Pelodiscus sinensis: one gene and its partners. The protein of the gene in region 3 purifies or fractionates together with the protein of the main gene of each other region. This does not show direct contact. Links are inferred from orthologs where the notes say so. Each region holds a gene or a part of one and is shown on either strand. Other genes may lie near its edges. The genes, in order: MOV10, CASC3, UPF1 and ILF2.

Evidence for each region.
Region 1: the proteins of UPF1 (region 3) and MOV10 purify together in Homo sapiens (affinity purification with mass spectrometry; 3 studies listed by BioGRID and IntAct, with this or other methods). This does not show direct contact. The link is inferred for Pelodiscus sinensis from reciprocal best matches to the Homo sapiens genes UPF1 and MOV10.
Region 2: the proteins of UPF1 (region 3) and CASC3 purify together in Homo sapiens (co-immunoprecipitation; 5 studies listed by BioGRID and IntAct, with this or other methods). This does not show direct contact. The link is inferred for Pelodiscus sinensis from reciprocal best matches to the Homo sapiens genes UPF1 and CASC3.
Region 4: the proteins of UPF1 (region 3) and ILF2 purify together in Homo sapiens (affinity purification with mass spectrometry; 3 studies listed by BioGRID and IntAct, counting the BioPlex papers as one, with this or other methods). This does not show direct contact. The link is inferred for Pelodiscus sinensis from reciprocal best matches to the Homo sapiens genes UPF1 and ILF2.

Annotation. Positions count from the first base shown.
Region 1 is NC_134737.1:2,048,383-2,055,896, reverse strand, and holds the start of MOV10 (helicase MOV-10), read left to right. Parts: upstream 1-4,286; 5' UTR 4,287-4,359; coding exon 4,360-4,493; intron 4,494-6,925; coding exon 6,926-7,022; intron 7,023-7,514.
Region 2 is NC_134739.1:10,950,423-10,957,840, forward strand, and holds the start of CASC3 (protein CASC3), read right to left. Parts: upstream 3,200-7,418; 5' UTR 3,080-3,199; coding exon 2,855-3,079; intron 259-2,854; coding exon 231-258; intron 1-230. UniProt on the Homo sapiens protein: Required for pre-mRNA splicing as component of the spliceosome. Core component of the splicing-dependent multiprotein exon junction complex (EJC) deposited at splice junctions on mRNAs.
Region 3 is NC_134729.1:19,442,051-19,450,306, forward strand, and holds the start of UPF1 (regulator of nonsense transcripts 1), read right to left. Parts: upstream 3,243-8,256; 5' UTR 2,942-3,242; coding exon 2,741-2,941; intron 2,719-2,740; exon of another isoform or gene 2,037-2,718; intron 1,978-2,036; exon of another isoform or gene 1,916-1,977; intron 1-1,915. UniProt on the Homo sapiens protein: RNA-dependent helicase required for nonsense-mediated decay (NMD) of aberrant mRNAs containing premature stop codons and modulates the expression level of normal mRNAs.
Region 4 is NC_134734.1:23,581,736-23,589,644, reverse strand, and holds the start of ILF2 (interleukin enhancer-binding factor 2), read right to left. Parts: upstream 3,308-7,909; 5' UTR 3,205-3,307; coding exon 3,200-3,204; intron 2,499-3,199; coding exon 2,439-2,498; intron 1,511-2,438; coding exon 1,468-1,510; intron 92-1,467; coding exon 1-91. UniProt on the Homo sapiens protein: Chromatin-interacting protein that forms a stable heterodimer with interleukin enhancer-binding factor 3/ILF3 and plays a role in several biological processes including transcription, innate immunity or cell growth.

The DNA of each region.
Region 1 (7,514 bases), on a different chromosome or scaffold from region 3:
TACACTAGCACTTCACCACACTGCAACTTTCCACTTCAGGGGTGTGAAAAGACACCCCCCACCACCACCACCAAGTGCAGCAAGTTACAGTACTGTAAAGTGCCAGCGTTAATGGACTCCCAGTGCTGTAAGGAGGGTGGTTTACACAGAGCCAGGGCTCCTGCCATGGTTACACTTGCATTACTTTTGGACATGTCGATAAAGCCTGGGGTAGGGTGTGAATTTAAAGTGCAGTAGTGGTTCCTGAAGAATTCCACTTGGACAGTCTTTGAAAGCACACCGGGCTTTGGCTGAGCAGGAGCAAAGAGCACTTCTGTGCCAGACTAAGCTGTTCACACAGGGAGTTAATCATTGTCCTAAGACAAACAATGGCCTAAATCAATTAAAAATCTATTGCTAGTGAAACTGGTACCATTTGTAAAAGAGACCAAGCCTTAGCTTGTGTATCAGCTGAGCGGCCAACAACAGGCCGGTGGGCTGGACCACGGGAAAGGTGTTTGCATGGACTGTAGGCAGCATCTCAATTGTCCCAGGGGTAGCCAAGCATTTGCAGTCTGTTGGGTGGAAGGTGCTGAACTACAATGAAGCCATTAACGCTCCGCATTCCTTCCTTGCATTGCCCCAGGGTCCCAGAAACACCGCCTAGTCCCTTTCTAAGCAAGCAGCTGAGTGCCAGGGATGCCCTTTCCTATGGAAATGGACAGGACGCAGCCTGGGGCCGTGGTCTCCAGCCTTTTTATGCGTGAGATCACTTTTCGAATGGAAATGCAATCCAAGATCCACCTGAAACCTAAACAGCCTGGCCTGGCCTCCTTTGTGCCCCTTCTCTGAGGTCCTGCCCCTGCTCACTCCATCCCCCATCCTCCCTCACTTCAGCAGGCTGGGGTGCAGGCTCGGGCAGTGTGAGAGAGGCTCTGAGCTGGACTTGGCAGGTAGTTGGGGTGCAGGAGGGGTTCATGACTGGGGTGGGGTTTTTCGAGATGGGGGCTCCAGCAGGGCACTGCTTACCTCAGGTTGCTCCTGGGTGGTGCAGTGAGACTAAGGCAGGCACCCCCTTGCCCTGGCCCTGCACCACTCCCTAAAGCAGCCAGAAAACTCCCTCCCAAGCCCTGTTGTGCCCCCTCTGCTCTGTGGAGAAAGGATACAAAGTGGGGGAGGAGGCACCTTGACATCAGCACCCTCCTTCCCCTGCCCTGCCCAGAAAGCTCCTGAGGGGCAGCTCCAAGGGAAAAGAGATGTGCAGCAGTGGGGTGAGGGGCAATTGAAGTCCAGCCCTTGATAACAGTGTCTTGGCCAAACCAGTCAGGATCCCCTGTCAGAGGCACCGGGATCTACCCGTAGATCCCCATTGTCTGGTTGGTGACCACTGGCCTAGGGTGTGTTTATAGCAGGCTCATTTCTTAAGAACATTTCTCCAAAGGGCTCCAGCGCCAGGAGTCACCTGGACACGGCCACCATCCCTGCCCAGGGGAGCGGCACCAGTAGGAACTCTCAAGGGGGGAGACAAAGGGCTAGTGCAAGTCAAGTGAGAACCCAACTGAAACCCGATCCCACGCTTGCCAGAGCGAGTCAATTACACAAAGCCAGCGTAGGGAGCGGCATGGTCGTCCACTCATAAAGCTTCAGTAGCAGAGCCTGTCTCAGCCATCCCTTTTGCTGGCCCTTGAACCCAGCCCGCGGGTGGCTTCGTGGAGGTTCCAGTGCTCACTGACGCACTTTTCCTCCCTCCTGAGACGCCTGAAAACGAATAAATGGCTTCCCATCCATGCATGGAGGCCTCCAATTGTTTGCCTGACTAGCACCGTCCATGTGGGGAATTTTACAATCTTCTCATAGGACTTGGCCTTATCCACACCCCTGACTCCCTCTGGGACAGGGAAACACCATGTCCCTGATGTACATGTTGGGAAACTGAGGCATGGAAAGGCTTAAGATCACACTGGGAACAAGCGGCAGAGTTGGGCATGAGAGCCTTAACTTCCAGAAAACAGCCTCCCTGTTGTATGCAGTGGCCTCTATTATTAATTTAATCTATCTTCCCCAACCCAGTTTCCTTTCCCAGAATACTCCATGGGGAAAAAAATGGTAGCTAACGAGGTGAGAACTTTAGAAAGGAGTGGTCCTGTGGCATTTTAGAGACTAACCAAAAGAAACAAACTCATGAGCTTTCGTGGGCAAAACTGGTAATACCTGTTCACCTTGGGCCCATTCTTTGCACAGCCCTCTTCCCTAGGCACAACACCAGCCTCCTACCTGCAAGGAAAGGGATCGGCCGGTATCTCCTCTTCTATGCCAGAGCTGCATGCCCTTCTGAATCCAGGCAACTTTCTTTTCTCGGAGGGAGGGAGGAAGCCAGCAGCTGAGTTTACTTACTTGACTTGCATGCCCAGTGGCTGAGTCACTAGCCTGTTGATTAGGTGCTGCCCTGGACAGAGGGTTTTAATTTTTAAAAGGGACAGATCATTCTGTGCTGGGAGAGGAGGTCAAAAGCTGCTGCGCTGCAAGATAAGCACAAGGCCAAGTGGCAGAGACTCACTCTGCCAAGAGCCCCTGAACTGCCAACACAAGCCAGACTCTGCCCTGGCAAGCCAGCCTGCACCCAGAGTTAGTTCTGTGAAATCACCCTGCTATCCTGCTACAAACCCTCCAGGCAAAAGGGCCTGGATGGTACCAGGGTGCGGGATAGGCTTTGGGCTGTAGTCCTACAAAGGCCCATGCATGCCTGCCCCTGAAGTCAATGGAATGACTCACTAGCAGTAAGGTCACACCTGAATAAATAGGGGCAGCTCCTAATGGCTTCCCATTTCAGATCTGTGCCTGGTGCGAGGATCAGAGCCTCTGACTCCAACGCCTGCAAAATGACCCCTTGGGGAGGCAGGGTGGCCTAATGGCTAGAGGGTGGGACTGGGAGGCTGTGGCAGTCAGTGGCCCAGGCTCTGATCCTGGCTCTACCACTGAGCTGCTGGGACACCTCGGGCTAGTTACTGCCCTGCCTTGTGCCTCAGTTTCCCCATTTGTAACGTAGGGCTCATGATACTGCCCTCCTCTTGGAAGTGTTGTGAGAGCCAGGAACCAGCACGGGATGCACTGAGGGGCACAGGCTCGAGCAGTGGGACAGAAACATTTTGGGACGCAGTCATGGCCCACAAGACACTGGGGACTTGCATGCCAGGGAAGACACTGGGGAGCACTCCCATGCTAGCATGCCAGACAGGGCGCTAGTGCCACGAAGGCAGAGCAGCCTGTCCCTAGCCTCCTTTGGAGACTGTCTCCAGACAGCCACAGCTCCGCACTGGACCAGAGAGAGTAACCGGCTCGGAAGCACTGGCCAGTCTGACTCGCAGCCCCCTCCCCTGCACCCTGTGGCCGCCAAAGAGAGGAGATTTCTCCAGCAGATGCCCTGGGGGCATCCTCCCAACTCAGCATTTTGCAGAGGCTCTGCTGGGAGAGGGGAGACACGGCAGGGACCGGATGGTCGTCCAGGGAGCAAGGGCGGAGCAAGGAGACCTCAGCTCGCCCTGTACCGCACACAATGGGCCCACGTCACCTCAGGGCGGGATCCCACAACGCGTATCCGTGGGCACGAAGCCGCCAGCACACAGGAGACCCCAGCAGTGCAGCGCACGGCCCCACAGCCCCTCAGCCACACTGGGGACATGAGCCCTGCCTCCGCACTGGCTTCCCCAGGACACCCAGTCTAGCCCGGGGCCTCGTCCTACTCAAGGCTCGCAGCTGGGCCCCGCACGGGTTGAGCGGTCGCCCTCTGGCACCGCAGAACCAGGGAGAAGCGCATCTGTCCGGGCTGAGGGGCTGCCAGAGACGGGGGCATTAAGTCCTCCAGGAACCACCCTAACGTTCACCTCCTGCTCCCTGGGCAGGCCCCTTGCTTTGCCCTGCCACCTCCAAACTAAACGCTCATCTGGACAATGCGGGTAGGAAACCCACCAAGCCCTTCCCACCTGCCTGGCACACGGCCCCTGCCCCAGGGCGACTGAGAGCCGGTCCCTGGCTGAGGCTGTGTCTACACGCAAAGTGTGGACGGGGGGCTCCCCAGGGGGCAGGGAACGGGGGGCTGGCGCAGCTGAGCTCTCCAAAGGGGTGCGGGTCTGCGCTCCCCCAGAATCCCCGGCGGAGGCCGCCCGGGCCCGGGGCTGGGACATCCCCGCGTCCCTGTGCCTGTCCCGGGAGGCGCAGAGCCCGCCTACCCCACCGCGGGAGCCGCTCCCGCCAGGCTGGCGCCGGGCCGGGCCCGCCCAGAGGGACCTGTGTGCCGGGGAGGCTCCCGGCCCCTTTCACTTTCGTTTCTGCCCGCGGAGCCCGGCTCCCGCCCTCCCTGGCCGCCCGCGGCGCCGCGCAGAGATGCCCAAGCGCAGCTTCGCGGAGTGCAGGGCGAGCGGGGAGCGCTTCGTGCGCTTCCTGGCGGACACGGCGCGGGGCGCGGAGCGCAGCCGGGAGGCGCTGCGGGACATCTACAACCGGGAGTTCCGCGCCCGGTAAGCGCGGCCGAGCCCCGGGGGGAGCGGCGACCCCGAGCGCTGCGTGGCCCCAGGAGGGGGCGGGCCGGGCAGGGGAGACGTGTCACTTCGGGGCTGCTGGGAACCCCCGGACGCCCCGGCCGGGAGGGGACAGTTGCTCCAGACCAGGACACTCACCTGGATGCTGACAGCGGCCTCGCTGGGGCTCCCCGGGCTAAGAGCCGGGGCTGGGCAGCCCCTGGGTGCGGGTGCAGCTGGGGCGCCCGTGGGGAGAGGGAGGGGGAGGGCCCGGTCTGCCCCAGGCTCAGAAGGCAGCCAGACACAGACCCTCCATGATTTCCCGTCCCTGCCCCCGGGGCGCTGGGAAGGAGGCTTCCCTGAGCCATGGGCCCTCCTTCCTGCAGGAAATCACTCCAAGCTGCCCAGCGCCCCTCTTCTCCAGGGGTCAGAACAGATCTGCACCCCGCGCCCATCTGGCTCGGGCCTGGGGTTTGGGGTGACTCTGGGAGGGGAGGCTGCTCCATTGCAGTTCCGAGCCGGATTTGACCCATCACAGCCATAGAACTGGCCCTTGGAACGGGCTGGGGGCGACGTTCCCGCTAATCTTTTCCATCCACGTGCAGAATACATTTTGTTCTGTGCACAAGGGCTGTGCGGGTGTGCACCACCCGCAGAGACACAGCCCTGGCTGCGGGCTGCCAATCAGCCGGGCGGCGTTTGAATCTCTCCTGAGCAGCCGCACAAGCGCCCCGCTTCCAGGGAGCGGTGGAGACACAATTGCCTCCCAGCCCCTCGTGGCTTTGGGTGGGCGTGGGCTTGGAACTGACAAAGGGACGCCTTGGGGGCCAGGCACAGGCCTCTTGCAGTATGCGGGGGTGGGGAGGGCATAGGCATAGCCCCAGCTCTCATGGTTCTTGTGCACCCGTGGCCCCACACTGTCCGGGGCAGAGCCTAGGGCCCACCCAGGCCAGGCAAAGGCAGGCCCCAGGGTGCTCAGGCAGGGCTTGGCCTTCCTGGGCAAACGCTCCCCTCCCCAATCCTGCCAGCACCAGGCAAGTGTTACGCCTGCTGCTAGGGAGCTCTGCCCGGGCAGTCCCTGGCACCTCTGGGCAGCAGGGCCCCTCTCTGGCCCTTGTCTGCCTGCCAACAGCCTCATGGCCCCCTGCCTGGCCTGTGCACTAGGGCACATGGGGCCCTGCTCTGCACTCGCCGCATGGGATCTGGCCCACAGCCCTGCCCCACGACCTGCCACCTTCCTGGCTCACAGGAGTGTGCCCCACCCCCGTGCAAAGGCAGCTGGTGCACATGGGTTAGTCCCGCCCTTGTGTAAAGGCAGCTGGTGCACATGGGTTAGCCCCGCCCCCGTGCAAAGGCAGCTGGTGCACATGGGTGGTCCCACCCCTGTGCAAAGGCAGCTGGTGCACATGGGTTAGCACTGCCCCCGTGCAAAGGCAGCTGGTGCACATGGGTTAGTCCTGCCCCCGTGCAAAGGCAGCTGGTGCACATGGGTTAGTCCTGCCCCCGTGCAAAGGCAGCTGGTGCACATGGGTTAGCCCCGCCCCCGTGCAGGGGTCCACCTTTGCCCGCACAGCGAATCCGTGTCACTGGAGAGACCCCCGAGTCCCTGGCTTTGCTCTTCCCTCCAGCCAGGCTGGGCTCTCTGTGCCTCCCGCTCGCCCAGGCCAGAGTGCGCGGAAGGAGAGCGGCTAGTGCAGCCCTGCCCCGGCCCTGGGCTTGCTTCCTCGCGTCAGAGCCAGAGCCGGGAGCAGGGGTGTGAAATCGGGACGTGTTACGTGGCTCACCGTGATCCCGCGGGCGGGGGCTGCTCTGGCTGGGCTGGAGTGCCCCCCCACCCATGGTGCGCCTAGGCTGTGGGGGGCTGGGGCTGCTGGGACCAGGGTCCCCCCTGCACCTTCCTGGGGCCGTTGGGCCGCAGTCCCACCTGTCCTCGCATGGGGCCAGGGCTGCTGTGGCCCTGCCTGCCCTGTCTGGGTTCCTGCCCCGGGCCGGTTACCTATCCAGCAAGCGCACTGCTCACCAGGTAACCTTGTGGCTCCTGAGCTGGGGGCGGAGGGGGGGCTGGATTTGCAACTACTCCCACCCCAGTGCAGGGGCCCAGCGGGGTTGCAGTTGCTGGGGGCAGTTGCCCCCCAGGGAAGACGCCAGCCCAAAGAATGGCAGAGCTGAGGGGCCCCGTGGGAGCAGCCCTGGGCGCCTGGTGGTTGCCCCATGGCAGGGCACGGTTGGGTTGGAGACAGGAGACCCTGCAGTTGAGGACCACCCCCCCGGAGAGGAGCACTGCTGGGTGGCAGCCAGGGTCCCGCTGGCCCATCGCTCTCCTCATGAGCAGCAGGGCGAATGCCCCGGCCCCCAATGCTGGCATCTGCCAGCCCCATCGCTCCGGGCAACGCAGCCCCGGCCCTGACGCGCCCGCTCTGTCGTCGCTGCAGGGATGGCACGAGGGAGCCCAACTTCTCCTCCGTTCTCTTCGCCCTGTGCAAGAGCGGCCTGGCCGAGGTGCGGGGCGACTTCGTGCGCTTCGGGAAGGTAGGTACTGCCCCCGGGAACCCACTCCTGGGGCGCGGTCCCATGGGAGGGGGAGCCCAGGCAGGGGGCACGTGGCCCCACGTCGCGCTGCCGAGGGGGAGCTTCTCAGCCCCCCCTCCCAGCTCAGCCCTCCATCCTGCCCACGCGTGGGCCGAGCCGGCTGCCATGGAAGCTGGCACGAGCTCTCCAGCAGGCCGGGGGGGGGCTCCCGGGTCCTGGCCGCAGGGCGGTTTGGTTCTTAGCCCAACAGAGCGTTTGGCAGCCACGCCGGGAACGGCCCCCGGGTCTCCCCCCGGCCTCTGGGCTCCAGGTCCCGGCTGGCTGGAAGCAGCTCGAGCCGTGAGGCTGCTGCCCCATTCCTGGCAGGCTGGTGCCCACAGCACATTGCCTGGCAGGGGGACCCAGAGGCACTCTGCTTCGGCTCAGCCCGGGGTCCCCGGCTGCACCCCGAGCCGGGCCTGGCTGCATGCTGAATGTGGGACCCTGGGGCCG
Region 2 (7,418 bases), on a different chromosome or scaffold from region 3:
TAAGCACCAGTATTAAACTGGCCCTCAATCTCCCTGCTGAAAAGCACTGCCGTTAGACCAATGCTCCATCCAGCCCAGCATTACATGCTTCAGACACTCCTGGAGCAGGGGACCAGACAACTGGCCTTTCAAAATGGCCTCAGAGTATGCATTTTTAATAGCTAACGATTCTGTGCTTTCATAGCTTCCCTTCTCCCTCCCAGGACAGCCCAAAGATACTTATTACTCACCGTCTCCTTCAATGCCATCTTCACTTTCCTATTGAAAGAGAGAGACACACAAGCATGTTACTGGATGTGTAAAATTTCCAGGAAAATTTCAGTGACTTGCCTATCAGATGTGACCTCACTAGACATCTAGACAAGCTTTTGACAAGAGCCGGGTTGGGGAGATGCCTGTGACCCTGGCACACAGGAGAGTCATCCTGGAAGCTTACATTTAGAACAAACATGGATCTAAGAACTTGGACAAGAGTTTTCCTGAAAATGCATCCAGTTGCATGCACAAGGCCGGCCAGACTGAGGGAAATTCAAGTCCTCCAGGCAAGAAAAGGCAGTATGGAGAGGAGGGGTTTAAAGTGTGGTTAGTCAGTACTGATCTTTAGGGGAAAGAGGCCTACACAGAAATGATGAGCTCCCTTAATAAAATAAAACTAGAATCAGACTGCTGGCTCAGAAAGTTACTGGGGGATTGCTGAAAGCTGGGAATGGGTGACGGGATGATTACCTGTTCTGTTCATTCCCTCTGGGACACCTGGGCTTTGGCCACAGCCTGAAGACAGACTCCTTGGCTAGACAGACCTTTGGTCTAATCCATTCTTATGGATTATTTAAATTAGTGGCTTTCCCCAGCCTCCATGTGCTGAGGAGCACCAAACTCTCACAGCTGCTACAGATGTCAGAAACATAAATGTTAACGTCTGTCTTTATGGGATAGAGAGTAAGACTGAACTGGAGGAGGAGATCAGATCACAGAGGTAAATTCTGGAAAAGAACCAGAGTATCAGACTAAAGGAATTTAATAAAATAGGCTCATGCTCAAAAATTAAAAAACTGTGTATATAATAATGTAAAGGCTAAAAGCAAAAACAGGTGAACTACAAATATACCCGAAAGCAGAATAGGAACATGGTGTAAGAGGTCCGAGGGAATAAGCTACACGGCTATAAACTACACAGGAAGAACAATTAAACTGGACAGATGGGCAGAGCATTATCCTAAAAGACTTCAGAAAAGTCTACGAGGGGTGGGGAACCTCAGGCCTGGGGGCCAGATGTGGCCCTTGGCTTGCCTGGATCTGGACACTGAGACTCAGGGTTCCCCCTAACATTGGGGAGCCTGTGCTGGTGCTCCAATCCAAGCCTCTCTGTGGGGACAGAGCACACACAATCTACTAGGCTGGGGGCCCAGTGGGGGAGAGAGGATTTCCACTGCTTACTTGTGTGTGGCTGATTTTTCCATGGGTCAGCAGCCCCTGACTCAAAAAAGGTTCCCCACCCCTGCTCTAGGGTAATAGTACTGGCCTGCCCATGAAGAGTCAATGACAAACACAAAGAAGAAAGTCTGTAAACATGTCAGAAACAAGAAACCAGAGAGGGAAATGCTAGGTCCACCAAAGGCATAGGCAAGGAGTATTTTCAGCTGAGATTTACACTGTCACTGAAACTTATAAACACTGTGGCATTCATTCAGCTGACAATCTATGAAAACACAAGATTCAATTTTAACACCCTTTCACTCAACATCATTTTACCTGACAGAACCCATTTCAACCATCCTGATTGTTTTACATTTCTCTGAAATCTGAGAAATGTATTGGCTGAGCCATTGTCTTGACGACCAAATTAAGCTTTGCTAACTAGCTCAAAAGTTTCACGAGAAAGGGCTGCAGAGTGACCAGATGGAGATATTCATCTAAAAGTCCAGCCCCAAACCACCTGCACTAACTCATTTTGAACACCAGAGTCTGCATAATCTGTATTGCCACAGTGGAAAGACAGATGAGGAAAGATGTGGTCCTGGAATGAAAAAGATTATTGATGCAGAATTTTTCAAGTCAATGTAACGGTAGTTCCAGACCTACTGTAATGTATAAAGATGTGGCAAGGAGGGTCACTTGGCACATACTCTTTTGCCCTTTGTTACATTGCCTGTCTGTATCAAGGATTGAAGTAAATTCTGTAGCATGTGCACGAGGAAAGGACAGGAGAGGAGTGTGTTGATAAGATCTTTGGACACGGATTAATAAAGCTAAATCCCACTGCGCTGCCGAGATCCTTTTGATAAGGGGCTGAGCGGGGAGGTGGAATCCAGGGCTCCTAATCAATTCCTCTCTAAATACGTCCGCCTTACTGGTCTGGAGGAGGGCAATTTAGCAAGATTTTTAAGATGCGGGGCCGGTAAGCTTGCGGCCTGCCCACGCGCTTCGCACTGCAAAAGGAAAGTGACTAAAAACAACAAGCGAGAGAGGAGGCTCAGTCACACAAAGCGGTTTCCCCCACGGCCCTGCCGCCACCGCGGCGACGAGCAGACAACGGAATTCGAAGACATCGGCCCCAATGAGTTTCTCCCCAGGGTCAAGCCGCGGAGGGGGGGGGATATTACGTTTGGGTGGCAAACGCCCCCCCCCAGCCACATGCAACACTCTGGCCGCTCCCACCTCCCCTGACGGCCCCGCCCCGGGGGCTCAGCCAGCCCGACCTGTGCACAAGCGAGCCCCCCCCAACCACGCGGGACAGGCCCCCCCCGACGCGCGCGGGCCGACCCCTGCCAATGGGGAACCCCCCCGCGGGGAGGGGGGGCAGGCCCCTCCCATCCCTCAGACCCCCCCCCATTGTCGCCCCGCCCCCACTCACACACTCGGACTCCTGCGGGCTCTTGGCGGCCCCGGGCGCGCTCTCGGCCGCGCGGCCCCGGCCCCCCGCGGGCAGGTCCCCGGCAGCGCCCCGGGCCGGCCGGGGGGGCGAGGCGGGCGAGCCGGAGCGGGCCCCGCCGGCCGCGGAGTCGGCGCTGTCGGAGGCGGCCGAGTCGGACTCGTCCTCGCTGTCCTGGGAGGCCCGCTGCCGCCGCCTGTCCGCCATCTTGGGGGGGGCTGTGCGGGGGCGGGCGCGCAGGGCCCGACGGGACGGCGCCGGGACTACAGCTCCCAGGGGCGCACCGCGGCGCCTCCCGCTTCCGGCCCCGCCCGAGAGGGGAGGGGTCACAAGTCCCACTTCCGGGCAGCCCGCTCCGCGGCTCCCGCGAGGCTTTGTCAGAGAGCCGGAGTGCCTGCCCCGCCCTCAAGGGAGCCGCTCAGCGCGGGCGGCCCCACCCCTGCCTGGCGCGGCTGTGACGTCGTGCCGTCGCCGCACGATGACGTCATGTTACCGTCCAGGTGACGTCATTTCCTTGCTTGAAGCGGATTGCAGGCCATTTCCACGATTGAGCCGAGCACTGGGCCTGGGGCCGGGCTGGCTCAGCACACGGGGGCACAGCTGGGACCAGGGGAGAGCCAGGCCTGCGCCTTTCTGCAGGGCTAGGGGGGTCAGATACTTTCACAAAAAATCCAGAACCTGTCGGGGGGAGGAAGGTGTGTGTGGGGGGGAAATTGGTTGAAAAAAAAAAAAGAAGGGGGGGGAAGGACCCAGGCACCCAAATTTGTTGAGCCAAAAACAGTATTTTACTCCTGCAGTATTTTCTGTTGTTTTTTTTTAAACCCAAGAGAAGACGCAATTACCGGACTGTCTGGACAAAAACAGGACAACTGGCAAACCTATGCAGGACTCTACATGATTTGTTTCTTGCATGCACCTAAGTTTTTCCACAAGGGGGTAGCTCAATTTCACACTCCTTACCTTGTCCTGTATGCAGAGGGGTAGTCGTATTCAACCGAAAAAAACCACCACCAAATAGTCCTGTAGCACCCTCGAGACTACAGGTGATATCATGAGCTTGTGTATGCACAACCCACTTCTTGTGCCCACAAAAGCTCATACCACCATCTACGTTTTTGTTAGTCTCGAATTATGGTGCTGAAGGACTATTTGCTGTGGTTTAAGCTTGCCCTGTGTGTCCTTTTCCAGAAAGGAAAACCTGATAACTTGGGCCCTATTCCTCATAGGTAGTTAGGTGTCTAAATTCCCATCGACTCCAGTAGAAATTCAAAGGTATTTAGATGCCTGTGATCAGAGGGGCTACGTCTACACTGGCATGATTTTCCGGAAATGCTTTTAACGGAAAAGGTTTTCCGTTAAAAGTATTTCCAGAAAAGCACGTCTAGATTGGCAGGACGCTTTTCTGGAAAAGCACTTTTGCCGGAAAAGTGTCCGTGGCCAATCTAGACGCGCTTTTCCGCAAAAAAGCCCCGATCATCATTTTCGCAATTGGGGCTTTTTTGCGGAAAACACTACTGTGCTGTCTACACTGGCCCTTTTCCAGAACAGTTTTCTGGAAAAAGACTTTTGCCCGAACAGGAGCAGCATAGTTTTTCCGGAAAAGCACTGATGATTTTACATTAGATCGTCAGTGCTCTTCTAGAAATTCAAGTGGCCAGTGTAGACAGCTGGCAAGTTTTTCCGGAAAAGTGGCTGATTTTCCGGAATAACTTGCCCGTGTAGACACAGCCAGGGAGTTTGGCTACTACCCTAAGACCCGAAGCCTCAAGGATAAATGGGAGTCAATGTCATATCCACATCATACACAAGCACAGAGAGGTGAAGTGACTGGCACAACACTTCACCTCCCTCTGAAGACAAATCATGTTGCTTGCCATCACTGGAACAAGACAGAGGTGCATTGACCACACATCCATCCTTGCACGGTTATCTACCCAACACACTTGTTCTCTTTATGTAAAGTAAGGTGATTCTCTATACATTCCACAATAGGTTCATCTATTTCTTCCTGCATTTAGTATTTCAGCTCCCGAGGTACGCCCTTCTCTCAACTGTTATCTATGAGCAGCAGTGACTTTTCCTTTTCATCCACCCACTCGCTTAAAGATTTGTAAAGAAAGCAACAAAAAAAATGAACTAGGAGCAAGCACCTTCGTGTGGCTCCAGCATTATTGCTCCCTACAGAATTTATTAAGCAAGCATTTGGCAACAGGCCTTCAGCACTTGCCGCACACTGACCCAGACCCAGGAACGATCTGCATTGACGTTTTTAAAGAGCCAAAACAGACTCTCTGAGAAGCCTTTCAGAGCAAATTGGAGTCAGAAAAACAGTCTTGGGAAATATTAAGTGTTTCTTTAAAATACATTTGAATAGTGGCTCCCACATATTTAGCTATGGAATTGAGTGCTGGCTGGTTAGGGTTTCAGCTATTCAGACTGAAGAACCTTAAAATGTAGTTTTGTTTTGGTTTTTTTGAGAGAGACAGACACAAGGCATTAAGGGTAGACTGTTCTTCCAGTTCAGAGTTCTAAGCAAGCTATGGCAGCTGGTTAAAAATTCTAACGCTGGTAACACCATTCCTATGGACAGCACCAAGCATGCAAGAGAGAAGCAAGCTATATTTTTATTGGCTGAGAGAACGTTTCTAAACAAGACATATGCAAAGGGTTTGAGACAAACATGACAACAACATGTACGTGGTTTTTTTTCTATTTTATTGTAAAAAAAAAAATCTCGATTTGTTTAAATTTTTTAAACATACAAGCAGAATTGTTTAATACTCCCCAGTAACACTGTTAATTCTAACAAACTGAAGCAGAAATTCAAAAAATTAACAGCCACAAGTTTATTTACAACTGAACGTTTTTTATAAGATATTTACAAGACGACCAATTTTACATTAGAAATGGTATCAAAAGTATGCATTACAGACAACTAGGTGTCAAATGGCCATAAAACAAGGCTGAAGAATACAGACAAGCTTTTAATTGTATTTAAGATTTTTTTTTTTTTACACTAGCTTAAACTTGGTTAAAGAAAGCAAGGTTTTAAACCAAAGAACGGTTCTAATAGGGAATTGCAGGGCCTTCCATTGCAGATTGAGTTTCACAGTGTTGCACCCCATATTGGGAGAAATAAGACTTTTTCCCATGCCAACACTCACTGAAAATTTAACTTGGTACTTTCCCTCCAACCTACTCCCTGCCCACACACCCCATCTGTAGCTAACGACTGCTGGATAGATATCTATGAAAGATCATTTTTATAAAACATGGCTGCCTGTCTGGAGTTTAAAAACCAGGTGTGCCCTGGGAAATCAGGACCACTGGGACTTTAGTCTGAGGTCAAGCAGCTACCAGCAGATACCTCTCAGAGCTAGCTGTCACTGGGACGTAAGTGTTCTGACCCCTGAAAAGCCACGAATGCAGGGTATAACCAGAATGCAAAACCCACCTGATGCAGACCTGAAAGAGACAACATCAAGGAAAGAAAACAAGGCTCAAGCTTAATATTTGCCCATTTAACATGTTGGCTCCTAATTGCACAGAAATCCATTAAGAACACACGCTATCATGCGAAAGCAGGACACTCAAGAACAGCCTTATTTAAAAAAAAAAAAAAAAAAAAAGCGCAGTGCATAGCCCTAATGTTTCAGGCTATGTGGTACCAGGGTCCATGTCTCAAAAGATTTGCCCCTTTCATGTAGATTTCAGACCGTCTTTCAAACACCATTCCTACAGGAACCCTAGCACGGCCCACTGCCGTGTTGTAAGAATCAACCTCTCTCCCAAATTGCATAAGAATACATCCCAGTTCACAGGGAAAAGGAGGGAAAAAAACGCCACATTTTGTATTTGTGCATTACTATTTATAGCCATTTGAACCAAAGCAGGGAGAGAAGATTGCTGGCCTTAGACAACACTAACAACTCCAAAGGAACAATCAGAATGGAACATTTCTTCCCTGGCCCACGAACATTTTCAGAAATGACGTTAGCTCCTCCCCCAGCCGCACACATGTCAGAGGTAGGACAAGAACGGTGGAGCAATCTGACAAGCAAGCCTTGTGCACGAGAGTAACAGGCATGCTCTCTGTAGCAGCCAAACATTCCCCGGCCATCTGCCTTGACTCCATTCTGCTGTTAAGTCTGAAAGGTGATGGAGAATCCTGCCCCAGAGCATTTGGTATCACCACTAGTGTAGAACAACAATGAAGGCTCATTTCGTAAAGGAAGCAAATTACTAGAGCTAAAGCATAGGGACCACTCTAATTTTCTCTAGCCAATCCAAGCGTCTGACAAGATACGCGAGTTGCCAGCCACTGCTGTCCTTAAAACACTGAAAGGAAAACAAATCACCATTGTGCGTCTCGAATTCTGTTTTCACCATCAAAAACGTTTCCCACCCCCTATAGCCAGTTGGTCTAGAACCCGGCAGAGCAGCTGGCAAATAGGCTCATCTGGAGAAGTGTTTACGCACTGGCCATGGCGCAAGGAGAGTCTCGCTACAGAAAAGTGCAGAGAGTTGATTTCTGACCCAGGTTAAC
Region 3 (8,256 bases):
AAGAGCGGGAAAATGTTTCTTACAACTTGTTTGTTCTTCAACAGGGGTAAGACAGCAAACAGAAGTGGTAGTGACATGATCAGAAACATCACTGTGCAGCTAAAAAGACCAATTAAGCAAGAGCTGCAGGTGAATGGCTCAGTCAGCTGATTTTTGGTGAGAAGAAATAGTATGGTCATTACTTTCACACTGCTGACCCCTAATACTTTTGTCAGTGATGGGACACCAACTGATTCTGACAAACACTTAAGTTCCTGGTTTAATGTACATTAGCGGAAAAAAGCTCTGATATAGAGAAGAATCAATTGCTTACACTTTGTTAGAAGAGCAGGCAAAAGAACCATATCTAACTCTCTCCTCATAACATCTAGGAATTTGAGACATCTGAACATTAATCCATAGCAAATAAACAATGTGCATACATTTAAAAATAAAAGATTAAACTGGATTTAATGGTATGGAAATAATACTTAAAGGTGATCATCTGTCAGGCCTTGTAAAAAGTTTTATTTTTAGTTACTTCTCTTGCAGAGTACAAATTTATGTAGCTTTTTAAGGCAGCAAAATGTTCCCCAAAACCCAAGATGAGTCTGCTAAAATGTACAAGACTAGACAGCTATGTAACAAGGTTAGGAAAACTAAGGAAATCTATAGTTCTTGCTATACTGCGGTTCAAAAGGAACATTATCTAAACATCTAAAGAAAATCAGGTTGTGAAACAAGGAGGCAACAGGAGTATCAAGAAGAATATGACAACTTGCAAAAGTTTCTGAAAGAAATTGTTTCAGCAGTTTGATAGAGATATAAAACCAATTTTTTTCCCACAGGATAGCAATAGATTTTATTATTATAAAAGCTCTAAATACACTGTACATAGTTTTTAACTTCTATATTTGTTTTCCTTTCAGACCACATATTTAAAGGAAATTGTATTTGATATTAATCTACAGACAGGAGTCTTAGGGTGCTAAGATTGCCAAAGACTTTCAGGAGGTCTATACATGTTGTTAGTATGGCTCTCTCCAGCATGTGGATCAGATGGCAACGTTTCCCCTCTTATTTGTTAAGCTTCTATTTTAAATAAGTCCTCTGTCTAGGCATATGCAACATGAGTTTTCACTAGGAACGTAACTGATTAAAGAGAGGATGGGGGGCACGTTTTAGCCCAATCCCGCTGGAGCAGCCTCCCCACTGCAAGCAGAGCTCATCATGGGCAGGGGCTGCGGTGGGTGGCCAGAACAGCCTCTGCCTGCGATGGGCCCAAGCCCACTTAAGCAGCCCCTGCTGGGGGGAGGGAGGGGCAGTGAGCTGCTCCACTCCCCACTAGTTAACCAGAACTGCTAAGCATCAAGTGGGATGCTTATTGGTTAACCTTTCACATCCCTAGTTTTTACTGAGGTTGATATCAGAGTGCACCAAGTAAAGAGACCAATGAAGATGAACCAAGAATCCTTTCTACTGCCAGACTTGAGCTCAGGAGTCTGTCTCTCTCTTACAATAGACAACATTACGAACAGCTCAGGTAATTGCATCCCTGATTCTGTCTTTATGCAGCTATCAACTTTTGGAGAGGACAGAACTCTGAATACAAGTCTTCATAAGTAAATGGAGAAATGAAAGCACACACGATATTCTTGAACTGGGATCTTAAACTTAGTAGCACTTCAATTCACCTTTTAATTTGCATTTTAATCAGTAGATAGTTTACAAACTATTGTTGGTACTGGGATTATATCAGCATTTGCTTGTCCATGCAGTTGACTAGTTGACACATTCTGTGATCTTTTTAAATATTATAGCAACTATGAAGCTTAGATGTCTTTAAAAACAGCAATGTAAATTTTCTGCCACACAGAGTCATAAAGCTTAAATGCAGGTTACCTTCATTTATGATATTTCATCGTGTATATGCATCTTAACTTCCTCTTTTCTTACACTCGCTATTCCAAGAAAATCCTGGTTTCCCTTCTTTTTTAACTTCCTCTTTTCTTACACTCACTATTCCAAGTGAATCCTGGTTTCCCTTCTTTTTTAACTTCCTCTTTTCTTACACTCACTATTCCAAGAAAATCCTGGTTTCCCTTCTTTTTTAATATGAAGGGACTATACAAGGCTATTGCTCAGTGGTATATCAAATGCTACCACATTTCCCTTAAAATATTGTCTATTACATTTTAATCGTCTCCAACCTTCAATCCCAAATGGGGTTCACAGGAATAGGACACACGTGCCAGCCACCACACACAATGCAACGGGAAAAGATGGATAACAAGGAAGAGGGAAAAACCACCACACGAATTAGCCCCATGCAACGTGTTTCAGAATTTGATCACAACTAAGTTGCCCAATTGGAAAGGGGGGGGGGGGCATGCCAGCGGATTGTGCTGTTCCCCACAGGCAGCAAAAGGCAGACGGGGGGGGGGGGGGGGTTCAAGCCAGCTCCTACCCACAACACGGAAGGAAGTCACATTCCTCATGATGCAACCCTGAAATCTGACACTTCTACAGCCCCCCCCCCCCCCGGCCATGTGTTCTCAGAGAGGAAGGGGCACCGGGTCCAGCCCTGCCCCCCACCCCCCTACACTGGCAGCACGTGCCGGGCTAAGGCGAAGGCAGAGAGTAACCCCCCCCCCCGTGCTGAGTGTGTGTGTGGGGGGGGTCTCTGAACGCCACCTGCCCACGCGGGGCGCTGCTGCGGCTTCCCTCAGGGGAATCCCCCCCCCCCCCAGCGCGGACCCACCTGTGCCTCGATCTGTCCGGGCGGCCCCTGCCCCGGCGGCCCCTGCCCGCCGTGCCCGGGCGGGGTCTGGGTCTGGCTGGGGAGGGTGAAGTCGGTGAACTCGAACTCGGAGCCCTGGGTGTCGGCGCCGAGCAGCTCGGCCTCCTCGGTGTCCAGGAAGGTGAGCGTCTGCGAGCTGGGGCCGTAGGCCTCCACGCTCATGGCGGCGGCGAGGGGCCGGCGGGGCCTCGCCTCACGGCGGCCGGGCAACCGCGCTACGCGAGCGCCGGGATGGGCCGCGCGCACCAGGCCGCGCGGCGCGTCGGGCGCCAACGAAGCAACCGCCCCTCTTCCCCCCCCCGCCCCTCCTCTTCGGGCCGGGCGGCCGGACGCAGCCGAATCAAGCGGGGGCGAGGGTCCGCCGCGGTGCCGAAGCCCGAGGCGCTGGGAGCGGAGCAGGCCGGCCGGGAACCGCCGCGCGCCAGGCAGGCCAGGGAGCAGGGGTGACGCGGAACGCACGGGGAGGGAGGAGGGGGGGGACGCGGCGCGCGCTCAGGACGCGTGGGGCCGTGACGTAGGCACGCACGCACGCATGCCCGGCGGCAGGTGGGGGGGGGGGGGGGGGCGCGGAGGGAAGGCCCGGGGGCGGGGTCCTAGGTGGGAGGTAACCATAGGCTCCCGTGAGGGGAGGGGCCGCCAGTTGTCCTCTCCCCCCCTCCCCCCACAGGGAGTGGTAGGGGCGGTCTCTGCCCCCACATGGGGGGGGCACTGCCCCCATGGGGAGTGGAGGGAGGTCTCCAACGGCCCCCAGGTGTGGGGGTGGGGAGGGGAGGGGAGATCTGCCATTGCACACGTGTGTGTGTGTGGGGGGGGTCTTTCACTGCCACCCAGGGAGGTAGGGGGAGGACTACCACTGCCCCCCATATGTGGGGAGGGGAAGTCTGCCTCTACCCCATGGGGTGGGGGGGAGGGAGAGATCGCTCGCTTAACTGCTCCCCATGAGTAGTGAGGGGGAGGTCTCCAGTTCCCCCATAGGTGGGAGTGGGAGGTCTCCCACACAAACAGGTGAAAGTCTCTAACTTCCCCTCTTGGTGGGGAGAGAGAGGTCTTTAATTTCCTCCATGTAGGTGGGTGCCGGTCTCAAGCTCGCCCCCCCCCCCCCACACACACACACTGTTGGTGAGGAAGGTCTATAGCTGTCTTCTCTCCCCCAAGAGAGAGGAAGTTCTGTGTTATCAGCGAAGAAAGCAAGCAGAAATCTCTGCTGCCTCTGGTTCATGGAAGGGACTTTTCACCTTCCTGTCACTGTTTTGAATCCACCATGGGCCCAGAGTGACTGCATGTCATGTCTCTGTGTCGCTACGCAGTCACTCCGGGCCAACACTGGATTCACAATGGTTGCCTCCATTTGAAATGAGTTTGGTGGGTCTCAAGCCAATCTTTAGGGAATGCTTGTTTACATCTCAAAAGCCACATGTGCAATTTGTGATGTAGTGAAAGTGGGGTACTTGGGGCCAGGACTCTGGTTCCATTCCCAGATCAGAGCGTGTGTGATGTAGATGCTAAACAAGAGTGTGGGAAGTAGGACACTTGGTTCATTTTCCAGCTCACTGCCTCAGTTTCCCTTTGCCAGGAATAGAAATATGCATATCACAGAAAGGTGTGAGTATTAACTAATGTTTTAAAACACCATGAGACAGACAGAAGGTGATAGAGAAGTGTTAAGTATTATTATTATTATTATTAATTTATATTGATTGATTGCTAACAGTTGTGCCTGGACGGGGAGGCTAATAATCAAATGTACTGTGGAGACTGAAATCTTTACTCATCATTAAAAAAGGGCCTTCCACGTAAGACTGAGGCACATTAGAATTATGGTGTAGGTGAGATAAACAAACAGAAGATTTTGATTTCTAGGGTTCCCATCAATTTTTACCAGCACAAAATTCAGAATTTTTCTAAGGTTAGTTGTGGCAAAACAGGCATGTCAAGCACATTAAACCTTTTCTCTTCCCTCCCCACAACCCTGAAACTTGTATTCATGGCTATGGAAAGTGAACATATGTTTCCTTCTATATCTAACCTCTATGTTTGTAGTTTCAGTGTAAGACAGTGATGAGCAACTTCTGGCCGATCAGGGTTCTAGGGGTGGCCTGTGAGACATTTTGTTTACCTTTGCCCATACACTGGGTTGCCAGATCCCACTGGTTTCCATCCGCATAGGGTTTTTTTTTTCTACTGGTACAGGTTGGACCTCCCTGGTCCAGCATCCTGGGGACCTGAGCGATCCTGAACCAGGTAGTTTTCTGGACCAGGGAGGTCAACTCTCCCCTGCTTGGCGCCGACCCTGCTCCTGGGCTCTCCTCTGGGCTATGGGGCTCTCTGCCCTGCTGCCACCCCCACTGCTGTCAGTCTGGCTGGGGCTTGTCAGGGCCAGGGCTTGCCAGCCGCCACTGGCCCATCTGCTGCCAGCTCACCTGGGGCTCCCCAGCTGCTGGCGGACTCCTGGCTGGCTCGCTCTCCGGCCTCGGGGGCTCTTTGGTCCAGTAGCATCCATAGTCCTGCCAGATTTGAGAGGTTCGACCTGTATTACCAAAGTGAAATGCACATAAAGCAAGGGCATGTGAAGTGAGGTGCGTGCTTATTATCCACAACATTGGGAGAGCCGTGTGCTCCCTCTGCATCCTAACTGCTGCTACAGTTCAAATGGCACACCGTACAAGTTCTAGGTATGCAAGCACAGTTAGCAAAACTACCCTATCTTGGGAGATCATCTTTGTGACGATAATCTTGGAGCCCACTGAGATGAAGGAGGACCACTCATGTGGCCCACTCACTAGCCTCAGTTGCCCATTGCCAGTGTAGGAGAAGAAAACAGATGGACCAGGTTTGCCAGTGTCCATCAGATTTTGATAAAATATTTGCGTTGATGGAATTTGGCCAATTGCTCCTTCTCTCTCTTTGAAACATCCTTCTCTTTGAAATATCATGCATTACTCCAACATAGAAAAGCAATTAGAGTGGTTGGAAGGGCTATTATTTCCCGTACATGGCTTGTTTGTTTTCACCTTTAGGGTGTGTCTAGACTACAGGGTTTTGTTGACAAAAGTGAACTTTTGTCAACAAAACTATACTTGTTCTGTTGACAGTAAGTTGACAAAACGCGGCAGTTGTGTCGACGGCGGTAAACCTCATTCTGTGAGGAATAACGCCTTTTGTCGACAGAGTTCTGTCGACAAAAGGTGCTGTTGCATCCCCACTGTGCTTTTTCAAAAGAGAGCGTTTGGACTCTGTCGAAAAAGTGGCTTGCTTTGTCGACAGAACTGTCTGTAGACTAAATGCTCTTTGTTGACAGAGGCTTTGTCGACAGTGTCTGTTAAAGCCTCTGTCGACAAAAGCCTGTAGTCTAGACGTACCCTCAGTTTCTACGCTTCTGTGAGGAAGCAGGATGCACTGTAGGTTTCCGTTTAAACTGTCGACATCCAGAATCATTTGACTTAGCCCAATGACATTTGTATTGTGCTGGGGCAGTTCTTGATCTTCTCTCCTATTTGGTTGAATGGTTTTCCAGGTCTGTAAATCACAAATATATATATTTCCTGATGCAACAAATTCAGCTGTTTGAGGCTAAAACAATCTTTGATCGGTTTTATCAAGCCATTATGATTCCAAAGGGCTGGCCTGTCTATAGATGTAGGATTCTATTGAGTCCATTCTTTAGCTGGAAAAGGACTTGCTTGTTTTGACTTTGAGCTATCTAGTATCCCTTCACACGGCTGTGCCACTGTCTTTTTTAATAATGAGGGGTAGTAGTGATGTGTTTTTAGCCCACAGTCATTAAGAGAAGTCCCTTGTGTGTAAATATAAAATCAGGACTAGAGTCCTTCAAGTCTCAAAGGTAAGTTCACCTGGTGTTAGTACTCTTCCTCTCTAATTGTTAGCTAATGGTTTTTATCTGCTTCTTTTAACTATCCAGTCTTTAGGTACGTGTTTATATACTATCAGTTTTGCCTGTTACATACTAGCTCGGATTTCCCTTTGATATTTTTATACTCACTGCCTCTTTTTGTTCCTCCCCTCCCATTTTTTTCCTCTCCCCCTGTCCCGCTCCCTTCTTCTCTATTTATTTATTTTTGGTTCTGGACATCCAACACTCTAGTCATCTGAAGAAGTGGGCTGTGCCCACGAAAGCTCATGATACCATCTACATGTTTTGTTAGTCTTTAAAGTGCTACCAGACTTTTTGATTTTTTAATAACCTCACTATTTCTAATCTTCCAGGGAGAAAGGTGTTAAAATGACACCGTCAGGTTTCTATGACCTAGGACTTTTAAAGTACTTTCTGTTTTGTGCGCTATGACAGTATAGCAAAAATGTATATTGTAGTATTGGTTATAAGCAGTAGATTGCAACCGGGAAGAGCCGGGTTTGGGCGATCTGCGCATGCATAGAACGATCTGTGCATGCGCAGATCGCCGGACAGCGCAGCTGGCGAGTGGGGCTCACCGCGGTTCAGCGAGCCCTGGTTATAAAACTATGAGTATGATGCATAATGATTTGATGTATAATGACTTGCTTATAAGTTCTGTATGCTTCTATTTCACCCAGTTTCTCATGATTAGATGATGTTTACTGTAAGGCCTTGTGTCCTGTTAGCATTACAAATTAAGTTGTACTCCTTGTCTGCATGACAAAAGTTGTGGAAGATTCCTTTCTTTTTGCTGTCCCTTTAGTTACTATTAATCTTGTCTGAAACTCCGCACAATTGTTTGGTGTGAATGGAGGAAGTGTGTCAGCATGACAGTCATCACAGATGCCCAGGTGATCAAGAAGAAGTGGAAATCTTGAAGATACCCAGGAAACCACCATTCTGACTGAGGCTGAATTGAATTAGCAGCATTGAGAGAATCGTGGAGATAGGCAGAGATCCCCACGAGTGAGAGACAAAGATGGGAAGTTTGACAATCACCATCAAAGTATAATTCTGGAAAACACAGATTGACACCTCTTAAGTATGGACAATTGCAGCAGGACACTGCAAAACCCACAGACTCCAGTTGGAACTGACATGTATAAAGTGGGGACCTTTGCACATTAGGATTTCCGGGTTCAGTCCAGCAAGCCAAGCCTGAGAGGAGTCTCAGAAGAAACCTGACTCCTCACTTAATCAGCTTTACCTGGCCACTAAGACTGACTTGAGCCACAACAGACTGATAACTATGCACCATCTGCAGGACCGGGGTGTGTGTGGCAGTGTGTGTGTATATATGCGTGGGCTTGTCTTTATGAAGCGTATGCTAACTGCTTTTCTATTGTATTCTCAATAAACTCGGCGTATTGCCTTTTCCCCTGAAAAAGATCCCTTGTGATTCTTATAAGCATAACAACGATAGAGTTATTGGGAAAGGGAACTGCCAAATACTTACAGTACCTCTCTATATAGTTTACAACTTCCCCATTCTAGAGAGGAGAGAAATAAAGCAGGCTTGACCTATGCATCAGAAATAGCAGACACACAATTATCCGGGTCCTGA
Region 4 (7,909 bases), on a different chromosome or scaffold from region 3:
TGGGAGCCAGATCCTGGTTTCTCTTCAGCAAGGCTTCACTGAATGCTGTCTCGTCTGGGGCAGGTTTCACACGAGGGAAGGCCATTTCACACTGAAACAGAGAGACTGGGGTCATGCCAATGAGACAGGGTCATTCGAGTGGCTCATTTAGCAACAAGACAATTATTCCAATTTTTAACTCCACTGATTACATCCATTAGTCACTCCCAAGTGCCTCCTGCTTCTAATGACTGTTCCACTGTAGCAGTCAAGATGAGCATTTTATTTTCAGTAGGTTTTGAATGGAGCATGGAAACCTTCAGTCCTGCCCACACAGCTTCACTGGGCTCAAAGAGAGAATCACTAGAACTGGTCAATGAACACCACAGAGCATGTGTTCTACATAGAGCTGCCTGGGAACTTAATGCTATGAAATTACAGTTGAGAGAGGCACAATCACAAAAAATTCAGAAGGAACAATCCTTAAAAGCCAACGGGAGCTGCAAGGACTGTGCTGGGGCAGTGCACAAAGACCTCCCCCCCAAGAGGTAAGCGCCATGCATCCACACACATGCTGGCCCCAGCAGCCAGCTACTTGCTGGGCTAAGCCAGGGTCTTGCTGGGCTGTTGGCCAGGAGCCACCTAGAGTAAGCGCCTTCCAACCAGAGACTGCACCTGGCACCCCAAATCCTCACCCCAGCCAAAACCCCTTCCCTACTCCTGCACCCAGCCTCTGCCCCAGACACCCCCTTTCTCCCATTAATATCATAGAAAAGCATGGCCCTTGACCACTTACCAGACTCTTGGAGTGGCCTCCCCATCCAAAATTATTGCCCATTCCCGAGTAAAGCTATTAGATGCCTCAGCCTGCATGGTTTGAGCTGGGAAATGCGTGGGTACGTCTGCACAGCAGATCACTCAAGTTTCCCCTAACTTGATTCCTGTCAAACAGGAGTGTCTAGCTCAAATGAAGGGGTGCTTTGAGCTCACAGCCAACATTCCAATTTTCTCCTTAACATGCAGAATAATTTTTGTTCTGTGCACCATGGCATGTGTGGATGTGCAACACCAGGAGAAACACATGCTGCTGGCTGTGGATGCTGTGTTAATCAAGTGGGCAACATTTGGATGTCTCCTGGGTGGCCACCCAAGTGCTCAGCTTACAGGGAACACTGCTCCCAGCTAGCTTGTGTACTGTTTAAGTGCAGAAGGGAAGATACAGTCAAGCTGCAAAACAATTCAGCAGCAGCTAATCAAATCACTTTGGGTAACTGAATATTTTGCAGTATAGCTGCTCTCAGTCTCACTACAGCTGAGAAGCTAGATTAGTTCAAGTGTCATTAACTAAAGTGTGCTAACTATGCTGTGAAGAAACACCTTACAATCAAGTTTATTGTTAAACCAGGAACATAATTGCAACACAATGTCCCTGCACCAGTTTTATAGAGGCAATACTATGGACTGGCTAAGCTAAGCCAGGTTACTCACCACATAGAAGTCAAAGGGGATGTGTGGCACAAAGGGCCTGAACCTAAAAAAAGAAAAAGCTGAAGATGAGTTATGATGACTTTAAACTCTAACTGCCCTTTGATGACAGGGCAGACACCCTACAGCAGACTGAACCACTGGTTCAATACATCCTACACCCTGATTAGGAGGGTGTTCAGAGAAAAGCAAACTCTTTCCCAGCCTCTCATGGGAGGACTTCTCACCCTGCTGGACAAGCCAAAATTCCCTTTTACCTGGGAGACAGAAGTTTAACACACACTGGCTTGGACTCTCCTCATAGCAGAGAGCGAAGCCACCCCAAATTGACCAGCAATTGTGCACCATAACTAGTAGGGATGTGAATGTGTACAGTTAACGGATGAGCCTGGGTTCATCAGTTAGCATGCAGTTACACAAGGCTCCCCCCATTTACCTAAACACATTAACGTTCCTAGTAACCAGAGTATATTATTTGAAAAGGAGAAGTCGGTCAAGTGTTCCCCATCTTAGAAGGGGCCCCATTAAGAGCTCTTGCCTCTGCTGTATGTGGTTGGTTCTCCCCCACACAATGGATCTTAGCTTAAGGGGATTATGGGGCTTTGCTTCACAGTACATAGATAAAGCTCCCTCCCCCCCCCCGCTTCGCAACAAGCTGGCTGCCAGAGCCACCCTGGACCCTACACACTAGGTACCGGTACGGCAGGGACACCCCGGGGTGCCAACCCTTCTGCTTCTTCCTGGCCCTTGTTCTGTGGCTCTAGCGTCAGCTTAAAAACGCGAAACGCTGGCAGAGCGACGAGCCGAACGCTGCGCCCGTCCGGGGTAACGGGCCGTCTGCAGGCGGCTGCCAAGGGGGCACGTTCCGCCCCTTCCCGAGCGCCAGCGGACCAGGCCCTGGAGGTTACAAATCGCCACTTCCCTGCAGCGCCGGGCGGCCCCCCCAGCCCCCGCCCCCCGCGAGCGCCACTTACCCGCTGCCCGGGCCGCCCCTGGAGCCAAAGCGCCCGCCACGGCCACGGCCTCGATCGCCCCTGGGGGAGGAGGCAGGTCGCGGGTCAAAGGAGGGAGCGGCCCGGCCCGCGGAGCCTCCCCCCGGCACCTCCCCCCACGGGACCGGCCCCCCTCCCGGGCCCCCCCTCCCGGGGCACCTCCCCCCACGGGACCGGCCCCCCTCCCGGGCCCCCCCTCCCGGGGCACCTCCCCCCACGGGACCGGCCCCCCTCCCGGGCCCCCCCTCCCGGGGCACCTCCCCCCACGGGACCGGCCCCCCTCCCGGGCCCCCCCTCCCGGGGCACCTCCCCCCACGGGACCGGCCCCCCTCCCGGGGCACCTCCCTCCACGGGACCGGCCCCCCCCCAGCCCCCTCCCGGGCCCCCCCCCAGCCCCCTCCCGGGGCACCTCCCCCCACGGGACCGGCCCCCCTCCCGGGGCACCTCCCCCCACGGGACCGGCCCCCCTCCCGGGGCACCTCCCCCCACGGGCCCGGCCCCCCCCAGCCCCCTCCCGGGGCACCTCCCCCCACGGGACCGGGCCCCCCCCAGCGCACCTCCCCCCACGGGACCGGGCCCCCCCCAGCGCACCTCCCCCCACGGGACCGGGCCCTCCAACCCCCCCGGGGCACCTCCCCCCGCAGACCCCCCCCCCCCCCAGGACCGGGCCCCCGCGGGGCATCTCTCCCCGCAATTCCCTCCCGCCCCCCCAGCGCCGGCCCGCGGATCCCGCCGCCCCTCACCTCATGGCGCCCGCTGAAGTCGAACAATGGAGCCCGCGCTGAGGAGAGGAGAAGACGCCGGCCTGCGCTGCGCACCCGCCAACAAGCTGCCCGGCTATTGGCTGGGCGCGGCCGGCCCCCTCCTGATTCCGGCTTTGCCATTGGTCTCCCCACCGATCAGTCATGAGGTGTCGGCGCCTCGGCCAATCGCAGGTCGGGCGCGCGGCGGGGCCGTTGGAGAGCAGGCGCGCCCAGCGAGGGGCCCTTGCTGCGTGTGCCGCCAGTGGCCCCGCTCTGCAGCGGCGGGTAAGGGCCACTAGGTGGAGTGCAGAGGGCGGTGCAGGGCGCATGCGTGCAGGGCGAGCACACAGCTCCATGTGCAACCTTAGAGGCTGTGGCAGCGTGCAGCAGAGTGGCGCAGCGGAAGCGTGCTGGGCCCATAACCCAGAGGTCGATGGATCGAAACCATCCTCTGCTAACCTGTTTTTTTTTTTTTAAAAGCCCTGCCCCCCCCCCCGGGGTAGGAGGCATTTTTATTTGGCACATCACCACCTTGCTGGCGTCCCTGTGAGCTGGTGTCCGGGTGTGACATCACCACCTGGGTGACATCATTGGTGGTCAGGTGTGACATCATCACCACATGGGCAGTTGGGTGCCAATGTTCTTGCACAGTTGTGTGTGGATGTGATCTCATTGCACTGGTGTTCAGGTGTGACATCCTGTCAGTGTCTCCGTGGGACAGCATCTGGGTAGAATATTGTTGGGGCATGACATCACAGCATCTGGGTGTGACGTCATTGCGGAGGTGTGACATCACTGTGCCTGGCTTCTGGGTGTGGCACGATGGCTTCTGTGGTTCCTGCAAGTGACGTCACTGCAGATTAGAGCCCGCTGGAGCTGCCATACAGGCCATGACGTGACCCCTGGGCCTTGCCAAGGCGTCTGGGCTAAGGAGTGGTCAGCTGGGATGGTCCCTTTAATAAGTCCTGTCCCTGCTGTCCAGGCGTTGCAGGTAACAGTGGGCATTTGCAGGGGCGGCCCTAGACTAGCTGCCAGCAACTGGCGCCCTAGGCGAACCATGCAATCAGCACCCCCCCTCCAAACCCCTCAATGATATTGCACCACCATTTGGCGCCCCATTTAACTTGGCGCCCTAAGTGACCACCTAGTTCGCCGATATGGACGGGCCGCCCTTGGGCATTTGTCCCATTCGCTCTGGCCAAGTTGGAAAAACCAGCGGGGTGCGGCACAGAGGAATGCCAGCCCGTGCAGGGGGGAGGCGAGGCTGGGCTGGAGGGGGAGAGAATGAAGGGTTCTCGTGGGGGGCAAGCGGGGTGCCAGGGATCAGTGACAGCTTCAAGGGCAGTGGAGGGGATGGCAGGGTTCGACTGACCAGTGAGTGCCTGGGGCGTCCCTTGGGCAAGGGCCCCCACAAAGGATGGGTGGCTTGGGCCAGCCCCATGCGGTGTCTCGTTTTCCCTTCGAGAAATACGGTCAGCCCACCCCTCGCAGAGCTGTCGGTCCCTGGGATGCCCACACGTGCAATTGTACCATGCTGGCGGGTGCTTTTGTTCTTAAAGCCCGACTCTGGGAGTCAGGTGGTGGCACAGAGCAGCTCGGCTCCCCTTTCGCAAACCAGAAAAACAGCTTCCAGCCCCCGGTGGCTGGGGAGAAAAGCGGGAGACCGGGGCCCAGAAGGCAGGTAACACAAGTCCCGCGTCAGGTATTGAGTGAAATCTGATGGCTTGTGGAAGCCCTGACTTATGACTTGTGAGCTCCTGGGAGCCGGGGAAGCTTCAGGCAGAGACCCAAGCAAGGGCTATGACCTACAGGCCAGGTTCCATCCACCGACCAGGTGCCCCCTGTGTCAGGCGCAGCCCTGTCTATACTCTGCATTCGGACTTGACAGCTAAACAAGCAGGAGGCTACCAATCTGCCTGGGACGGAGACAGACACTGTGGGCAGGAAGCGGGAGCAGGGAATTAGGGGGTGGTCAGATCCTGGTACCATGTAACGGGGCCCAGGCAAACCCGGGGCTGCTCACTGCAGAAGAGAGCGAGTCGCTGCCCCGCAGAATCTGCAGTCTCCCTGGAGAAGACAGACGTGCTGCACAGGACTCGGTCTCAGCCCACAGCCTCTTTCCTGGCCTGGCAGGATTTTGGAAATACTGACAAATGCTCCCCTCCCAATTCGGGGCAAAAAAGTGAAAACTTTGAACAACCCCTTATCCCCCCCTTCCGTTGCCGGTGCCGGGTCGGTCGCATTTTAAACCAAGATGCCGGTGCCTCCACAAGGCCCAGCGAGGTTTGGTCCTGTCTGCGGGGTTGGGGCTGATGAATCCGCCTTTTCCAGCACACGGGAAAAGTTGGTCTGAAAGTTTGCAGCCGGCTGTGCTCCTCCCGCCCATTGTCTGCACGTGTCTGGTGCTCCAGACCTCCGGGTGGCGCCAGGACACCACCGAACATCTGCTCGGCCCCCTCTGGACACCAGCTCCGAGCACGGAAATGTCAGGAGCAGGGCCCTGAAAAGGCCACCTTAGGGCCTCTTCTCTGGGCATCTCGGAGGATAGGAGGGGTCGAGGGCGCAGCAGGAGCGCCGTAACTGCCAGAGCCAGAGAGGAGCAGTGTGGCCCCAACACAAGGGCGAGATAAATAGGGGGTGGGCAGAGGGGCGGGGCTCATGACGAGCAGGCACCAGTGGACGGGGGGCTCCAGGCAGGGCTCTCTGCCCCCTCTCATGGCCACCCGCCTTTGGTCAGCAGGCCTGGGCTCATGGCCACTGACGTGGGTCCCAGCTGTGCCGAGGGATGGCCGGCACCTGGGGGAACAGAGCCCCGGAGCCTCAGAGTCCTGTCCTGCTGCTATAAACTCTCCCCTTCTCCTGGGTGTGACCCCCCCAGCATGGACTGGAGGACCCAGCTGTGAGGATCAGCCCCCAAATCCGGAGGGGGTTTACTGCCCTCTGCCCTCCAGACAAGAAGCACAAGCCTCAGGAGCTGGCTGAAGGGACAGAGAAACCTTTTGTGATCCAGGGCTGGGGTGGGGGTTTGTGGAGCCCCACCCCAGCACTGGCTGCTGGAGAAACCCCCCCCCCCCTACAAAAAAATCTGTACCAAGCCTGGGAGTACCAAGCTCATCTCCCCCTCCCCTAGGCCCAGGCAGTTTGGCGGGGGGAAAATTGAATTTCCCACCCGCCAATGGCATCCCCAGCCGATCCATAGGGCCACAGAACATAGGGGCCAAAATAACCAGCTTCCCCCTCCCCCGCCAAGAGTGGCTGTCCCCCCACAGCCAGCCTGAGCATCATCTCTGCAGATGTGCCTGGGCTGGGGGAGCCAGGGGGCTGGGCGGACTTAGCCGGGGTCCCATGGAGTGCCAAGGAAGGAGAGACCAAGGCAGCCTCACCCAGAGTCAGGCAATTTGGCATCCCAGCGCCTCTCCTGGGGCAAGGGGTGGAGTTGTTACAATATTTCACTTGTGGGGAAACTGAGGCAAGGGGAGGGGTTCCCCTGAGGTCAGTGGGAGGCACTTGGAAAACAACTCAAGAGTCTTGTCTCCTACTCTAACCACTACACCCCACTCCCCAGAGCTGGGAAGAGAACCCAGGAGTCCTGGCCTCCACCCTGCTTTCCCCACAACAGCCCGCTGCCCTCGAGCAGGCAGGGGTGGAGCCCGGGGTCTTGGCTCCCTCCATTACAAACGCTTTGCATGGCCCATGGGTGCTCTGAGTTCCCCTGTTGCCCAGCAGGTCACAGTCCAGCAGGGGGCAACTTTCCTTGCTGCCCCCCAACAGGCAGCCCCCTCTCTGGGGGCCAACTGCAGGCGTGGAGTAAAGAGACCAGCTCTGGGCAACCTCAAGGCAAAGGCCTCGCCCACGGGGCTGCGGCGGAACCAGAGCCGCCTGGGTCTCGAACCAGGCTCCCTCTGCCTGGCCTGGGCGCTCGCTCTGCCACCTCCTTCCCAGCCGGCCCCTGGCTAATTCCCGCCCCCCACCAGGGGGCCCAAGCCCCCTCTTCAATCACGGAGGTGAGGGAGCAGCAGGCCATGAAGCAGTCCTGTGCTCTGCATGCCCCACTGGGGGGGCATGGCCCCCTGTGTCTCTCTAGGGGGGCATCACTCACCCATTGGGGTCTTTGGGGTTCCTACAGGCTGACCCTGTGCATGGCTTCCCTTCTCCCTTTGGGGGACCCCCCCACAGACTGCACTGGGCTCGGTGCTGCCAGCCCCCAAGGCTCCAAAACAGCAGCCAGCTCCCCAAAGCAGGCGGGTTTCTAAAGGCTGGGCCCTGCTGGGTGCCGGGGCCTCAGGGCAGCCCCCTTTCCCGGTCTCCTTTCCTCTGCCCCCAGGGCCAGGGCCAGACGAGGGCTGTACGTGCCAGCCCAGTCGCCTGACCGGGGGAGCTGGGGGTTCAGTTCAGGATGCTGGAATAGCTGGGAGGAGAGTTGCAGTCCCCGCTACTGCCCCCAGAGGGCGAAGGAGAGCTGCAGTCCCCGCTACTGCCCCCAGGGGGCGAAGGAGAGCTGTAGTCCCCGCTACTGTCCCCGGGGGGGGGGGGGCGAAGGAGAGCTGCAGTCCCCGCTACTGTCCCTAGGGGGCGAAGGAGAGCTGTAGTCCCCGCTACTGTCCCCGGGGGGGGGGGGGGCGAAGGAGAGCTGCAGTCCCCGCTACTGCCCCCAGGGGGCGAAGGAGAGCTGCAGTCCCCGCTACTGCCCCCAGGGGGGGCGAAGGAGAG